2 linked regions of the Alligator mississippiensis genome follow. The main gene of each other region encodes a partner of the protein of the gene in region 2 in a complex. Links are inferred from orthologs where the notes say so. Each region holds a gene or a part of one and is shown on either strand. Other genes may lie near its edges. The genes, in order: CNN1 and PRKG1.

Region 1 (8,295 bases), on a different chromosome or scaffold from region 2:
GTCACCACCCCTTGTCCCTCCCCCCCATGGCATTGCCCACTTACCTTGTGCCAGTTCTGTGTGGACTCATTCACCTTGCGTACAGAGCCCGGCTGTAGCTTGTTGATGAGTCTGTGGACAGGTGGAGGCTGAAATGTGACTGCTTCCGAGGAGGGCGCAGGCAGTCACTATAGCACAGCTGGGGAATGGTGCCTCCCAGTGGTGCCCCTCCCCCCTCCCCAAGCACCACCCCCCCAGCTCTCACTCGCACAGGATGACACCGTCCTTCAGCCCCTCCATGAAGTTGTCCCCGATGCGCCGGCCCGTCATTGCCTCAATCCAGGCCCGTAGCTCCTGCTCCCTCAAGGGGTCATACTTCTGGGCCAACTGGTGGGAGGGACAGGGGTCAGAGGTCAGCCTGGCCCCCCATTGCACTGAGAGTGAACCCCTTTGCACCCTGCCAGCCTGGGCTGTTGTGCCTGTGGGGGACACTAGACTCCATATGCCCCCCCATGGGATTCTTCACCCTCCCCCAAAAGTGACAGCCTAGGGCTGACTGGTTTATGAGCCCGCAGTGCCTACGGGGCATCAGGGGGTAAGGCTCCCATGCCTGGTGCCAGGATGATCCTTGGCATGGCTGAGATGTAGCCAGCTCCAGGCTAGGACAAGGTCTGAGGCTGTTTGAAAGGTGGGGGTGTCCAAGATGGACCTGAACATCTGGGTTCCCATCCCCTTCTGCCCTGTAGAGGTCAGGCCTCCACTGCACCTGTTCCCAGCTGCCTGCCTGCCCAGGCTTGAAACCGGACCTGGTCCACTGTCTGTAGGGCTTAGGGGAATGTTTCCTCACTAACAAGCTGCTAGCACTGCGCTGGGGCCTTGCCTGATCCCAGCTGAGACCAGTGCTGCTCATGTCACCTCCCACCCTGAGAGAAGCATTGCTGGGTTGGGGGTGCAGCTCAAGGATGCCTTGGTTCTCATTCCCCTCTCCCCACCTCGGCTACAGCCCTGGCATCCCGTAGACACTCCTGGGGATTCCTGTTGCTCTGTGCCCAAAGCCCCCTGGGTCTGGCACCAGGTGGGGAAACTGAGGTACAGAAGCGGAGCTGGGTAGGCCAGCCTCGCCCCTTTCCTCTCCCCCTCCTGGTGCTTGGTGCCAGGGCTGCCTGCCAAAGCAAGCAGCAGGCGCTGGGTGGGAGGAATTCACCAAACTAGGGAGAAAAATGGGGCTGGAGACTTGGCCCTAGGTGCAAGGGGCGGGGGAGGGAGTCATAGGAACTGGGGGGGAGGGGGTGATAGACCCTGCTGTTTGGTACCCCCTACCCCTAGCTCTGCTCCCCTGCAAAGCCTCTCCACCCCAGGCAGCCCCACCTTGCCCATGCGGTTGCCTGTCCTGCCCCCCTCCAAACTGGGTGTCCCCCCCCCCCCCAGCAGTGCTGGGGAATGGGTGAATCATTGCTGGGGCTGATGGGGTGGGGGTGGGGGGGTTCATTCCCTGCTTTGGGAGGGTAGTAGGATGGGGGGGAGGTAAGAGCAGGTGGGGTTGGGAGCCCAGACAGCTGGGTTCTCTCCCTGCTCTGGGAGGGGAGCTCTCATGGGGACTCCGGATGCCTGGGTTCCATCCCAGCGCACAGTGCTGCTTCCTTGATGGCGGGGTGGGAAGCGGGCTGATCTCTTTAGGCCTTGGTTTCCCCGGTTACATCCACGGGGCCTTGGCACAGCGAAGGCCTGGGCTGCCACTTCCCCAGAGCACATACAGATCCCAGACATCCAGGCTTCCCACACCCTGCTCTAACCCTTGCGCTCCACTGTCCACCTAGAGCTGGGAGAGAACCCAGGTGTCCAGGCTCCCAGCCTCACCTGCTTTCACCTGCCAGGCCCCCACTCCCTTCCCAGAGCTGGGGAGAACCTAGGTATTAAGCTTCCAGGGACACCCCCCTGCTCTAACACCCCAGTCCCCACCTCCTCCCAGAATCAAGATCCCAGGCGTCCAAGCTCTCAGCCCCCACTGCTCTCAACCCTCCCACTGAGAACAAACACCTGCCCACATCTGGCTGGGGGAGGTTAGGGGGAGTCACTGTACCCCCACTAGGGGGTCCCTCAGTTTCCTGGGGGGGGGTCAGAGCAGGGCCCTGGCCAGCTGGCAGGGGCGCTAGGGGCGGGGGTGTCCTGCGCCAGGGTCTGAATGTGGCTCCAGGCCTTATATAGCATCTCCCTGCGCCACAGAGATTCCCCAAAGCCGGCCTTATATGGGCAGCAGCTCCAGCAGGAATCTGGATGGGGGGGGCACTGGGGGGACTGGGGGGGACTGGGGGAGGGGGAGCCAGGCAGCCAGAGCTGGGGGGAGCAGGGGTCAGGGGGGTGAGGGGGTCACTGGCAAAGCACTGGGCATGGCTGGTGTGAGGGCTGCGAGTGTACATGTGTGTGCACACGTGTGTGTGTGTGTTAAACCCTCGCTGGACCCACCACATGGGCAGGATGGTAGCATCCCGCCAGGGGTGGGGATGGGCTGGGGGGCACTGAGGGCCCATTGTGGGGGGGAGGCTCAGTCCATCTGTCTGTCAGCACTTGGTCAGCTCCAGCCAGTCCTCACTATCCCACTCCCACCACTCCACTGCTGGCTGCGCCCACCCCAGAGGTGGCTGCATTCTGTCCTGGTGTGCCGGGGGGGGGGAGAAAGAGTGAATGGATAACACAGGCCCTGACCTCTGACCCCTGACTTCTGATTTGCCCCACATTATCACCAATGGGGACACTGAGGCAAGGGGTAGGGAGGGGCCAGTCACCACTGAGACAGACCCAGGCATCCTGACCTGCCATTTCCCCAGACTCAGCTGCAGCAAGGCCCTGCCCCACCTGGGGTAAATGGGGTGAGATGCCTCCACTGTGGGTTAGTCCCATAGAGGGGGAGGGGATGAATCCTCTCAGGGGTGCCAAGCTGCCCCCAAACCCCTCAGCCAGGGGACCCCAGGGGGGTCTGCCCCATGTCCATCCTGGCGGTGCCCCCAAACTGCACTGTGGTGCTTTAAGAGTGAACAGGCCCAATCCTCAGGCCCTGGGACCAGTCTGAGCTGGGACCTGCCACCACCCCAGCCTGCCCCCCCCCCACTGCCCCATGTACCCCAGTATCATCTCCCAGGCCCCATGTGCCCCCCCAGGGCCCTGCTGGGGGAAGCAGCACCCCAGGCCAGTCCTGGGGCCCTACCTTGCTCTTGACTTCGGCGGAGAGCCCATAGGCTGGGCCACGGACGAAGTGGGCGCTGGACATGCTGCTGTCTGGACCTGCTCTGCCCAGCTGCTGCTCGTCTGCTGCCCCAGCCCTTAAGACCCCGGCTGGGCCCGGCCACCCCCACCCAACCCCCGCTCCCCTCCCCGCAAGCTGGGGGCGGGGCTCCCCCCCAGCTGATCTCAGCCCCCTGGTATTAGCAGGATGGTGTCACTTTTTCCAAGGTGGGGGGGCAGGCCTGGGCGGGCAGAGGGGGGGCAAGGTGCTCCCTTGCCCCCCAGCCCCCCTCCTGCTCCCGCCATCCCTGCTCTCTCCCCTGCTGTCTGTTCCTCTCCCTCGCTTTCCCTTCTCCTCCCTCCCATGCTCCCCTCTTGCTCCTCCTCTTCTCTCTTCCTCCCTCCCAGCTTCCTCAACTCCTGTCTTCTCCAGCCCCCGGGGGGCTACCCTGGGGTCCTCTCTTTCCCAGCCCCCCATACTTATCAAGTAGCCACCTGGGCTGTAGGGCACCTGGGTTCTCCCACCCACTCACCATGCCCTCACTCAGGCTGTGGGGGGGTGGGGGGGGTCACTGCCCCCTGCCTCAGTTTCCCCATGGAGTAGGGGCCTTGTGGAGAGGCAAGGGGGGTTAGGAGCAAGGCCCTCCCCCCTCGGCCGACATAAGCCCATACCCCTTCATTGCACTGGACTGCGCTGAATCAGCCCCGATAGGAAGAGTGGGATGTGCTTGTGTTCCCCACTCCCCCAAGAAGAGTCCAGGAGAGGATGGGGCCAGGACAGAAGTGAGCCAGGGGCCAGGAATTGGGGGGCATGCTGCATGAAGGGGCTGGAGACCCAGCAAACTTGTCTCATGCCAGGTTGGGGGGAGCTGTTCAGCAGCACCCCCCCAATCTCAGCTCTCCCCTCTCTACAGTAGTAGAGCCTGGGGCTGGGAGCCAGACCCCCAGAGCCAGAACCCAGGAGTCCTGACCCCCAGGTCCTCCGGCTTTGATCGCAGGCCTCCCCACTACCCCCCAACAGCTGATGATAGAAGCCAGGCATCCCGGCTCCCAAGACCCCCTGCTCTAGTCCCATGCATTCCACCCCCACTCCCAGAGCTAGTTGGAACCCAGGTGTTCAGGCTTCCAGCCCCCACCTCCTATTTGGAGCTGTGGAGAGGCCCCAGGCCCCCTCCCCAGAACTGTAACCACTAGATCCCCGTCTCTGGAGAGCCCAGGCGTCCTAGCCAAGCTCCGCCCCCAGCCTTGGGCTCTGTTGCCTTATAAGTCCGGCTCCCTCCTGGCCCTGGCACGCCATAAATCTGGGGGTGGAGGGAAACGGGAATGGAGCCCGCGGGCCGGGCCGGGCCAACCCGGGGGGCTTTGCGGTGCCAGGTCCATACAGCGCCGTATGGCCCACTCGCGGCGTGCTCAGGACACGCCCCTCCTCAACCAAACCACGCCCATCACACAACAAGCCACGCCCCCAGTTCCGTCCCCTGCCGCCAGGGGGCGTGCACGGCTTATTAGCATCTGGTGATTTATTCATGAGGGGGGAACACCCCTAAAGTGAGATCACAGCCCAGCCTCTCCCTTCCTCCCTGATGACGCGACGGTGACGTAGGGGGGCTCCCTACGCCGTGCACCATGGCCATGTATAGCCCCCTTGGCGATCAGTGGTGACGTCATCGCCCGCATATGCCGGGGACCCCCGGGGTCGGCCCCGCCCCGCCCCCTGCACCATCGTGGGGGGAGGGGGGGGAGTGAGACATGGTCCACGCAGGATCGAGGCCTGGGGCGTGGGGTGCACATCCCCCGGGGGGGGGGGAAACTGAGGCAGGGAGAGACCTGACCAATTCAAGGACCCAGCCAGGATCGGGGCCCCTCCCGCCAGGATCGATACTCCCGGCCCCGGAGCAGAGGAGGTCCCAGGGAAGGCACTGATGAAAGCCAGGGCTGCTACCCTGTAGGCGGGGAAATTGAGGCACGCAGCCTGGCAGAGGGGCACGAGGCTGGTGCAGTGGCACGACGGGGGCGGTGGTAGGCTCCCCCGAGCTACTTTTTCTGCACGGCTCCCGCAGCTGGAAGGGATCGAGGGAGGGCCACACGGGCCGAGATGCCCCTGGGGGTCAATTCCAATTTAGTTGCCCCCTGGGGAGGTAATCCCAGCCCAGATGCCTGGGAGGGTAAATCCAGCCTAGAAGGCCCAGGGGGGGAGCACTTCCAGCCCCGATACCCCTGAGGAGTAATTCCAATTCAGAGTTTCCTGGGGGGAGCAGTTCATGCTCCTAGAGGGGTAATTCCAGCCCAGATGCCCTCAGGGGGGTAATTCCAATCCAGATTTCCCGGGGGGGGGGACAGTTTTAGCCAGATGCCCCCCACTAGGGGTAATTCCAACTCAACTCAGGTGCTCCCAGGGGCAATTCCAGTTTAGACGCCCCCAGGCTCCGCGGATGCTGGTCCGGGTCATTGCGGGGGGTGGGGGGGGGAAGGGTGGCGCGAGGGTCCCCGGTCAGAGCTGCTTGCGGGGCGCGTGGCAGGCGCGGTAGACGCCCCGCAGGATGCGGTACATCCAGACCAGGTTGAGGACCTCCAGGGCCAGGCTGGGACCGATCCAGGCGGCCTGCACGGCCGGGCCCAGGCGGGCGTACTCGGGCGTGCCGTGCCAGGCCAGCACGCGGGCGTAGTAGGTGGGGATGACTGCGATGCGCACAGAGAAGAAGGCCACGGCCATGGCCACCCCGTTGGCCCGCACCGGCCCCGAACCCCGCGGCCACCCTGCCGCCTCCAGGAACCACCTGCCACAACGGGGGCTCTGTCACTTTAAGAAGACCCGCCCCCTCCTCCGCGCCAGGGGATTGGCTGAGGAGAAAGGGGGCGGGGTTTCGCTGTCTGAATTTGCTGAGAGCCTGCGCCTGGTGCTGGGGGAGAGAAGTGACTCCCCCAGACTGGAGCGAGGTCCGCCCAGGGGCAGCAGAGCTGGGGAGGGGGCTGTAGGACGGGCCAGGCCAGATGCCCCCAAACTCACCGCAGGTTTACGAAGGGGGTCGAAAGCTCGGAGAGGAGGCGGAAATTGGCGAAATACGGTAACACCCCGCGGTTCTGGAGGTGAAGGACACCGTCAGCCCCTGCCCAGCCCCTCCAGGACCCGGTACCTCTCGCTCCCAACCCACAGCCCCCCACGGGCTGAAACGTGCCTCTCACTCCCGACCAGCAGCCCGCTGCTCCCTTCCCTCTGCCCCAGCCGGTGACACTCACTCCTGACCCGCAGCCCTTCCCCCCCACACTGACCAGCACGTAGCCGTAGGCGTACAGCGCCGCCACGTGGTGACACACGAAGAGCGCGTCTCCCATCGTCTTCCAGTAGCGGCCGAGAAGCAGCAGGTCTAGGGGCGGGAGTGAGAAGGAGGGGTCACCCCCCTGGGTCTAGCCCTTGCAAACACCCCCGGCTGCTCTGGGGTCCGGAGGGGGGGCTCAGACCTGCTTCAGAGGGGGGGACCCCTCAGCTCCAAGGGGTGGGGGGGGGGGCACGTACCATAGAGCAAGTAGCCGCTGATGATGGCCACGTTCAGCTTCACTAGGCGGGGGTCGCCCCTGCGGGCACAGGATGGGGGGGGGTGAGCTCATGGACGGCAGCTCGCAGGGACCGACAGTACACCCCCTGGAGTCCCAGCTTCCCCCTCAATGCCAGGCCCCTGCCCCCCCCCCCCTTCCGTCCTCCCCCCCGGTCAACTCCGGCCGCGGGAACAAGGAGCTCTTTCTTTCCCAGCACAAAACGGCTCTTCATGCCCGCGGTGCCATGTGACGCCCGCCCCCCGCCCAGGCCTGGCACCTCCTCCCACGCTCCCCACCTTCTTGCCACGGCTGGCAGAGAGGGCCTGGGAAAGCTGCCCGGCTCGGGGACTTGGCTGCGGTTACAGAGCGAGGGGCTGCGGGTCGGGAGTGAGGGGCACTGGCAAGGCTGGGGGGGGGCAGGGGGCTGCAGACCGGGAGTGAGGGGCATTACCAGGGCTGGGGGGGTCTGCGAGGCGGGAATGAGGGGCACTGGGGGGCGGGGGGGGGGGTCTCACCATATAGGATCCGCGTTCACGGCCGCGTCGTACCAGAGGATGTAGAGGCAGAAGCTCCCGACCAGCAGCGCGTGGAGAGTGGACACGCACCTGGGGGCAGCGCGGGGATGTCACGGACAGACAGGTCACCCCCGCGACATCCCTTGACGTTCGGGCCCAGGGAGCCCGGACACCTGGGTTCTCTACTGGCTCCGGGGGCCCGATCCTGGCCGGGGGAGGGGCGGTACCTGGAGTCCCACTCGATGCGGCGGGCGGGGGGCAGCGCGCAGTACGGGGGGCAGAGCGCCAGCGACAGCCGGGGGCTCACGGCCGAGAAGCAGAACTGGAAGCCCACGAAGCTGGCGGCCACCACGCAGTAGCCGAAACGAGTGGAGTCCTCCATGGCGGGGGGCCTGTGGGGGCCCGCGTCAGCGCCGACCGGCGGGGCCCCTCACTCCTGACTCGCAGCCCCGCGGGACCCCTCACTCCCAACCTGCAGCACCCTCTTTAGAGCTGTTGATGCCCCTCACTCCGGACCCGTAGCCGCCCCCACCCCCGACGGTCCCTGGCTCTCGCTCTCCCGGGCAGCCGGAGCCGCGGTGTCCCCAGGGCAGCGGCAGCGCCGCGGAGATGCCAGCCTTGCCCGGGTGGGGGGCGGGGACCTCCTGGGACCAGGGCCCAACTGGCGCCCAGCCCGGTGCTGCCCCCTCCCTCCCCCGGACCTCAGCCCCCTCCTCGGCTTGGGGAAAGGACCCAGAAGCCCTCGGCCTCAGCCCCACCCCGCCCTCTACCCCTTTCTCCCAGCTCGGGGCAGAACCCAGGAGTCCGGGCTCCCAGACCCCCACGTGCTCCCAGCCGCCCAGAGGACCCAGGGTCCTCCCAGCCCTGCATCGCTGTCACCGAGACCCGGCGACCCTTGTCCGGCCACGTGTGCGGGGTTGAGCGGAGATAATCCCCCGGGAGCAAAGGCCACGGCTGCGGGGCGGGGCGGGGGGGGGTTGGGAGCCCGGACGCCTGGGTCCCACCCGGTGACGTGACTTGCCCCAGGCGGGCTATTGCCACACACGGC
Region 2 (9,053 bases):
TTTTGAATGCATCCCCTCAGTAGAAGGATGCTGGAAGACTACTGTGTTGTGATGTGATTATGTAAAACCCTGGCAGTAGCTGCTGAACACAGTGAATTAAATCTCTTCGTGCTGACTCTCATGACTACATCAGAATTGCTTATAACCTTGTACACAACGTGATCCTTAAGTACCGGGGAGACATTTTTTTTGTCGACTCTGAACAACACTTTCTATCTCAGTTCTGTTTTTTGAAAGCAGGGGTACTAAACTTGACATGATTTCACAAGCTGCCGAAAGCCTTGGAATTAACATATTTAAAACTAATATGAAATGCATGTGTGGGTTTCATAGATTTAAAACAGGGCTGATGCTAAGGCATCACAAACCAGGGGGTCTATAGGAAGGTGGGTGACATTGAACTGCAACAGGGGACGGTAAATAATCAATGACCCGATTTCTCATTTAAGCTCCTTTCATTTCCTGTTAAATGCTACTCCAGGGCACTACTTTCCAAGAAGGATCAATTCTGTGAGTCCACAGCTCCCTTGCACATTTCCAGATCAGTTCTGCAGCTCCCAGTCCCTCCATCCGGCTGCAGTAAGAAAGGAACTTGTATTTTCATTTGATTGCTCTGCAAACTGTTCTTTTTCATGGGGGTAAGTCAGTCTTCAAAAGCTTTTCAAGAGAAAAGCCCACGCAAACCAAAAGGAAGGCCCTGACCACGTGTCATGACAAGCTACAAGGACTGCCCTGTTTCACATGCCTGCATGGAAAAAGAGCTACTACAAGAAGCGGCTTAACAACAAACCAAGTTATGAAAAAGAAATCCCTCCCCTCCTTCCGCCAGTCGCTAATACCGCTAGGAAAATGTCAGCCATAAACATCAGATTTGACTTAATGAGGTCCCTTCTCGCCTTCCAGCCTATGTATGACTAGTTCGAGCAGCAAAAAGCCATCTCCCAAGCAAGGGATCCCAAGCCTTAACTCTTAATGAGACAAATTTGACGACTCTAGATGAGACAAATGTGTTTGGGCACACAAAATAATTAAAAAGAACATTAGGCAGGCACTGATCTGAATCTAATAGAAAAAGGATATACAATTATGTTTATTGCTAGCAAATGGCACTTCAGCTAGGAGATTTTGCTCATCCACACCACTTCTTACCTTACGGTATGAAGAATATCCTAATTCTGAGTGTTCAGCTGTAAAACACTTACACTCAACACAAAATGCATTTATTTTCAACCTGACTGGTTCTGAGATCATCATGCTGATAAGAAATGAAGCTGCTCCTGATGTGTTTTGATGTAAGAAGTGAATTAAAAAGTATACAAGCTTTTTCATGATGATTGAACCAAATACATCAAGGTTTATTGGGTAGCTATAGAGATAATTAAGTAGTGTGGGGGATGTGATATTCCTTGTGTTTTAATGGAGAAAACCATATCAGTTTGCATAGTCTTTGATGGGAAGTGTAAAACCAGGACAGACTTATTTAAAAGCTTTAAAAAAGAGATTTCTTACAAACTTTCCCTTCACCCTTTCTTCTGGGGACAAGCAACATATAGTTGCAGAAAGATAGCCGTGCAGGGCTTTTCCCCCCTGAAAAGCTCCCAACCAGCAGGGTGGAGAGGACACAACAACTGTGGGAGAAAGGGTGTTGCTTAGACCGTGAATGCGATGAAAACACCGCACAGGTTTCCAGCCTCGAGATCTTCCCTCTGGGCTGGTCCCTAGTTGAACCGAACTTCAGCCAAGAAGGAAATCCCCACAGCTGCCCGGGGCTCCTCAGCTCTACCTCCCCAGTCACTCCACATCCCCCTGCCTGCCAAGCTGTGGATCACTTCCAGCAGGACTTGGAGGGAGTCTGAAGACAAGCTCTATCTTGTGTAGACTGATCCTTGCTCACCCCACTCTTGCCTCCTCATTCTCCTTCCTACTACAATCAATCGCCTGATGCCTATTACTCCAGAGCCCTCCATAAGACCTAATGACGGGCTCCAGGGCTATAAACTGTCCGCACACCTGGCCGTTGTCTGCCTTCCCCACCCTCTCTCCAAACTTGGGGAGTAGAGAAGGCCTCGTCCCTCAACAGGTGTTCGCCCAAAAAACCCAAGCGATTTCCCTGAGGCGGTGTGGAGCCGGGGCAGGAGCCGCGGGCTCTGCTGGCTGGACGCCCCCGCCCGGCCGCCGGCTTTCCCTCCCCCGGGAGCGGCTCCTCACCCCGGCCGGGAAGGGCACAAGGCTGAGGCCGCCCGAGGCGCCAAAGAGAAGATGTTTTTTCCGCCCGGGGACGCAGGAGGGCGGCCGCAAGGTGTCAGCTGCCAGATGACAGCGCTCAGCTACGCACACAAGGGATGGCGGGTGGGAGACGGAGCAGCCGGCGAGGAAACAAGCTGCAGCCGCGCTCCCGGAGCAGGGCACCGCGGGGCTCCGCTCGCCCATTGTTTCAAAGCGCGCCGGGCTCTTCCCGCAGGCTCGAGGCTGAGCTGTGAGGCCCGGAGGACGGTGTGTGCAAGCGGGCAGGGAGCAGCAGCTCTAGCCCGGCTCCCCCTGCCCTGCCCCGCGACCCCGGGGGGACCCCGAGCCGCGGCCCCGCGGGAGCGCACAGCACGGCCCCGCCGCGCCGGGACGAGGAGCGGGAGGAAAGGCGAGAGGCGCAGGAGGCAGCAGCAATGCGGAAACACACAGGGCACGAGACAGACAGGGCAGCCCCCGGAGCGGCCCGCAGCGTTACCCGCGGGCTCAGCCGCGGGCAGGAGAACAGACACGGCAAGCGGGAGGTGCAGGGACTCGCCTGGACAAGTGGATGGACAGACAATACAGACCACTGAAGGACCAAAGACAGGATGCCAGATGCACACAACGCTTAACCCCTGCTTACTGTGGGCTCTTGGGGTAGAAGGGAAGGGTGACATGGCTGAGGTCCTGGATGTCAAAGGCGGTGGGCTCGGCGGAGATCGCCTGCCGCTTGGTCCGCTGCTCGCCCTGCAAGGTGCCGGAGCCCTGCTGCTGCGCCTGCTGCGTGGCGGGCCGGATCACGGAGCGGTACTTGTCCAGCTCGTTCTGCAGCTTCTGGATCAGCTCGTCCTTCTGATCCAACTCCAGCTCCAGCTCGTCGATGAGAGCATCCCGCTGCCTCAGCTCCTCGATCTTCTCCTGCAGCGCGTACTGTAAATCCCGCAAAGTGCCCATGCTCCTCCTCGGCCCGCCGGCTCCTGCCTCGGAGCCTGGCTCGTCCGCTGCGCTCCCGGCAACTTTCCCCCAAGTGGCCGCTGCCTCCCACTTCGGCCAACTTTGCCGATCGCTCCGGATCGACCTGCCGCCGGCAAATGCCGCTCGCCCCTGAAGCACGCCCCCAGCCCCCAGCCGGCAGCCTGCGCCGAGCCGCGCCACGCCGCGCCGCGCCGAGCAGAGCCGCGCCGCGCCGCGCCGCGCCGGGGTGACTTGGCCGCGCTCCGCGCTCGGTTATGGGAGGAGGATTAGAGGCATAATCCGAAAGGGAAACCCAGCGGCGCCACTCCGCTGAAGGCTGGGGCGTGAAAGGTGATTTCGATCTGCCTGCGTCAGGCTAAGACTGGAGAGAGGCACACACTCACCGAGGGGGAGGGGGCACGGAGGAAAGGGGCGTCTGCAGGATGCCGTAGCACATGCACTTTCCCTCTGCCTCTGGCACCGGGGGGGCCGCTCCGGGGCCAGCGCAGCCGAGCCGAGCCGAGCTCCAGCCCGCGGCGGAGGGGCAGACCCTGCCGCTCACAGCTCGGGCTTTCAGGCGAGGCGCAGCATTTCACATGTGCCTGCCTTGCCCCTGGAAACCGGCCACGAACCACGATCTCCGCTGCCCCCACGGTCCTCTTCACACGCCCCCGCTTTGCCTGGGCATCCCCGGCCGGCTTTGCACTCCTGTCTGTTTACTCCTTAAGTCTCCGTCAGGAAAACCAGGCAACAAGCACTGCTAGGGAGCAAAGCCTTCGAGTTCCAGTGATCTGGGGGGAGCTGAAGCCCTAGGGTGCAGACATACACAAGCACAAGCTTTGCTCCTGTGGTGGGAAGCTCAACAGGGCAAGCCCAGCTTCCTCCAACTCTACCCGGTGTGTGGGGAGCAGGGAGGACCTCCTGCCCCACCAAAGGAAAGCCTGGCAGCCCCTGCCCCAGGCACAGTGAAACTCTGGTCTGGAACATAGCACTGGACCCCACAGGCACAGTCCCACCCCTAAAGCCAAAAAGCAGGCATGTCACACATCCTGGTTACAGGGTGCTTCCAAACCAGATGTCATCTTAATGCTACTGAACTGGACCAGTTCTGACAGTAATCACCCAAATAAACACTGCTTGAAGAAAGAACATGGCTAGCTGCTCCCAGGGTGCAAGCCCCAAGTATCTCAATTAGATACATCCGACAACAAAGGCATCAAAATGGCATCTGTACCAAAATCCTGCAGATCCAGATTTACTTAGTTCCTATCTTTCCTATTTCACTAGCTCGGTAGAGAATGAGTATCTTTCTACTTCACCGAACAGTGCAAACCCAACCAAATCCTGGCTGAACACCACTTACAATTCCTTGGTTTTACCAATTTTCAAGAGCCATCATACAATTTCAGTTGTCCCGTAAAAATAAAAAATCCTGTCTGGAAGAGGAATCCTACTTACTCCTGGCAAGTGTTGGTCCCTTTTCCCCTTTGCCTTCCTCCCCTCCCCCATACTGTAATCTAAATAACAAAACACATGCAACTACTTCCAGAGAAAAATCCCTATACTGGTACACTGGTACGCTGGCTTAAACTGCTCCATCCAGGTGCACATTTGGATTTATCAAGCATGATTTATCAAACATGCATGTGCTAGGACGAAGCACTAACATTTGATTTCTACACTTAGGCAATAGAAGGGGCCTGGTCCAGCAACATCCAGGTGCCAAATAAGTGTTTTTCTTATGGCTTGCACAGGATGTGTCAAAGCACAGGTTTTTCTGTTGTAGAAGGGAAAGTGTTTTGACTGTACAATTAGTGGTTTGGCACCATAAAACAGCAAAATGCAGCAGAACTTAAGTGCTGGCTGTGTGAAACAGGAGTGGTTATACTTGTTTTCTGTTTGGATTATATAGCTTTGGGGGGTGGGATAAATACTGCTATAGTCCAGCTGCGTCCAGGTGCTAGATATGGGGTTTTGCTGTGTTCATGGATAGCTGAAGTTAACATGTTTTCAGTGCATTAGGAATGCCTGTTTCTGCTCTTCTTTCAGGCATTAAGAACCCAAGAAATGAGAAGCTAAAGCTGACAGGGGCAGGATATAAGAAATGGATTTTTGCAGAACTCATGCACTGGTCTGAATCAGGATTCAAAAGGGTTTTTTTTATGGAGTGGAGTGTCTAATTTTGTTCTCTGCTTTTATAGTACAGTTTAGTGCTTTTGGGTGAAAATGGACAAGGCTCAGTTAGATTCAACTTATATATTATTCTACTCCTAAATACCGATATTTGACTCACTTCAGAGCCTCAGCTTTCCACCTACAAATGAAGTTCTTTATAATATTGATGGAAATGAATAACTGAAAAAACATGACAAATTCCTTATTGAATACTATGTTTAAAAGGATTTGGATCATTAATATTTTCTGACCCATCTTCTAGGATGTACTTGATATATTTCTTCAAAGCACATTAAAAACAGTTACACATTTTTTAAATGCATTTCAGTTTAAAATGCCACAGTTGAAAGTCTTGCCACATGTGTGTTAGGCATAAGAGACATAATATTACTAGAGACAAGGATTTCTTAGGGTGATATCTTTTACTGGACCAACTGCATAGTTGGGGTAGAGTCAGATAAGCTTTTTAGAGAAAGACATTCTCAAATCTGGTTGACAAAGAATGTCTTGCATTTTAAAGCTTGTCTAATTATCCCAGTTCTGAGGCCGGTCCAATAAAAGGTATCACCCTCAGAAATACTAACTTATTTCTTAATTCCTGGGCCATCACAGTGACAAAATCATTCTAACACTACCATAATTTTGCTGATCTTTTCAAAACATGGACATTTTAAGTGCTTTAACTTCAGAACCTCTTTCTCCATCTATTTCCCCCACTTAAACACAGTCGGCCCGATTTACTCTCTCAACATTCCTGCTTTAAAGATGAGTAAGGCAGATGCAATCTTGAAGCATACAGTATAGAATCCAATGTTAAAACAAATGTAGTATCTGTTCCCTTCTTTCAATAAACACACTTAATTTTTCATTGTGTGGTTTTCACAGAAACACGGTGTGATAAAGAAAAGGTGACCAAACGCCGGACATGAGAGCAAGTTATGCTCGCGGCGTAGGGAAAGCAGCGGGGTGCAGCCTAATAGCAGCGCGATTGGTGCATGCAGCAAAATCCCCGGCTTATGCAGCCCGTTGAGCGCGCGAAAAAAGACCTGATTCCATTGGCTATTGGGGCAGTATAAAAGGCAGACCCCGCGAAAAAGAAGGCGGGACCTACACAATATCTGAGAGGCTTGATCACCCTCACCGAGGTCCTGCGTCCACGGCTCCTTTCCCCCCCCGGACGCCCCCATATTGGTTAATTGCATCTTTTGGATGCGAGAAGAGCTCTCGGGTTCCCTACAGTTTGTTTTGTTTTTGGAAGTTATTGTAAAAGGGAACTGCCGGCGCGGAATTGTGAACAGAGCATTTATGTGCTCCACGGTGTAACTCTTACTGAAGGTGCCTACACTCTGTACATCAACAGCGCGAGTCCGTGTACTTCAGTAGTGTGAGTAAAGTATTCATTTGTTATTTTGCCTTCGGATTCTTCTTGGGCGGGAAGAGTAAAGAAAAAGGGAAACAAGATTCCAAACCCTTTCATCCCCGGCCTGCTCGGATCCAGGGGTTAATCAATCACCCCCCCGTATCTGTACCACACACAGAATCATAAAAATTAGGATTGGAAAGGACCTCAGGAGGCATGTAGTCCAACCCACTGCTCAAAGCAGGACCAGCCCCAACTAGCTCATCCCAGCCATGTCTAGCCGAGCCTTAAAAACCTCCAACTACAGAGATTCCAACACCTCTCTAGGTAACCTATTCCAGTGTCTTACTACCTTCCTAGTGAGAGAGTTTTTCCTAATATCTAACCTAAACTTCCCTTACTGCAACTTGAGACCATTGTTCCTTATTGTGTCATCTGCCACCACTGAAAACAGTCCAGCTCCATCCTTTTTGGGACCACTCTTCAGGTAGCTCAAGACTGCTATTAAATCCTCTCCGTCTCCTCTTCTCCAGACTAAATAAGCCCAGCTCCCTCAGACTTTCCTCAGAAGTCATGTGCCCCATCCCCCTAAGCATTTTCATTGTCCTCTGCTTGACTCTCTTCAATATGTCCACATCCTTCCTGCAGTGGTGGACCCGAAACTGGACACAGTACTCCAGATTTGGTCTCACTGGTGCCAAATAAAGGGGGAAAATCACTTTCCTCAATATGTTGGCAATTTTCCTACTAATGCAGCTCAGTATGCCACTTGCTTTCTGTGCAACAAAGGCATGCTGTTGGCTCATATTCAGCTTATTGTCCACTGTAACCCCGAGGTCCTTTTCTGCAGAGCTGCTACTTAGCCAATTGATCCCCAGCCTGCAATGGTACATGGGATTCTTCTGTCCTAAGTGCAGGACTTTGCACGTGTTCTTATTGAACCTCGTGAGATTTATTTTGGGCTGATCCTCCAATTTGTCTAGGTCTCTGAATCCTATCCCTACCCTCCAACCTATCTACTATCCCCCCCCCCCCCCCCCCCAGCTAGGTGTCATCTGCAAACTTCCTGAGGGTGCACTTTATTCCATCTTCCTGGTCATTGATGAAGATGTAGAATAAAACTAGCCCCAGGACACTCCACTTTATTACTGGATGCCATCTGGCATCAAGCCATTGAGTACTACCTTCTAAACCTGGTGATCCAGCCAGTTTTCTATCCACCTTACAGTTCATTCATCCAACCCATACTTCCTTAGCTTGCTTGCAGGAATATGTGGGAGACCATGTCAAAATCTTTGCTAAAGTCAAGGCATATCGCGTCCACTGCTCTTCCTGTATCCACAGAGCCAGTCATCTCATCATAGAAGGCAATCAGGTTGGTCAGGCATGACTCACCCTTGGTGAATCCATGCTGACTGTTCCTAAATATTTATGCATAGATGAACAAGACAGTATTTCAGATGACTAACTGCCACCCTGCACAACTTTTGAATAAAAATAAACAAATAATAAGACAATACTATTTAGATTTTCTCAAATTCATGTCTTAGGTGTGAAAACTTATACAATACTTGTAAAAAATAAAAACTCCATAAATTGTCCCAGCAGTAATGCTAGCAAAAAGGTAAACAGTCAGGACAGGTATGCTTTATGAAGCATCATGCACACTTATGATACTCTAGAACAAATAATTGACAATACTTATTCTAAAACTCTGCATCTTCAGTTTACTGTACCCCAGGAATTACTTCTCAGTTTCATAAGCTATAATAATAAATGAGATCATTACTTTAAAAGATTTTTAATATAATCTGAAATTATGGATAAAAATGAGAGATTCTAATGGTCCCCATTACAACACTAAGATCCAATGACAGTTTTTGAGTGAAAAATTACAATATATTGGATTTGTTTGTGTGTATTTAAACAAAATTCACATATATTTTATATAACCATTAGATAAAGAATCCAAAGATTTCCACAAACAGCCAAATATGTCATAAGACTTAACATATTTGCCTATTAGCACGTCTTCTACTGTCCCCAGTTGACCACAGGGCAATTGTGAAATCAATACATTTCTTACATTTCCTCCTCTTGCTCGTATTACTGCTCTTATTACATTAACTTGTTTGTATTCTCAGTAACAATTCTGTGTTTGGGATATCTACAGTACTACCCCATTAAAATAAATAAATAAAAAAGTTAAGCCCAATTCTCCACACCTTCTCCACCTATTAATTTAACAATATGTTGCTTGCTCTTCCAGTTGAGGAATCCTTCGTAAGTACTGGTTATCAAGCCCCACATTACATAGTAAACTATATCAGCACATTAA

The links.
Region 1: PRKG1 (region 2) and CNN1 share a complex: the UniProt entries of both Homo sapiens proteins name them as parts of the cGMP kinase signaling complex. The link is inferred for Alligator mississippiensis from reciprocal best matches to the Homo sapiens genes PRKG1 and CNN1.

The regions. Positions count from the first base shown.
Region 1 is NC_081831.1:22,524,143-22,532,437, reverse strand, and holds the start of CNN1 (calponin-1), read right to left. Parts: upstream 3,316-8,295; 5' UTR 3,245-3,315; coding exon 3,182-3,244; intron 367-3,181; coding exon 245-366; intron 112-244; coding exon 45-111; intron 1-44. Other genes in the region: TLC domain-containing protein 4, read right to left, coding at 5,690-5,975, 6,206-6,279, 6,469-6,563, 6,713-6,771, 7,248-7,337, 7,475-7,629. UniProt on the Homo sapiens protein: Thin filament-associated protein that is implicated in the regulation and modulation of smooth muscle contraction. It is capable of binding to actin, calmodulin and tropomyosin. The interaction of calponin with actin inhibits the actomyosin Mg-ATPase activity.
Region 2 is NC_081829.1:65,210,319-65,219,371, forward strand, and holds the start of PRKG1 (cGMP-dependent protein kinase 1), read right to left. Parts: upstream 3,699-9,053; 5' UTR 3,181-3,698; coding exon 2,870-3,180; intron 1-2,869. UniProt on the Homo sapiens protein: Serine/threonine protein kinase that acts as a key mediator of the nitric oxide (NO)/cGMP signaling pathway. GMP binding activates PRKG1, which phosphorylates serines and threonines on many cellular proteins.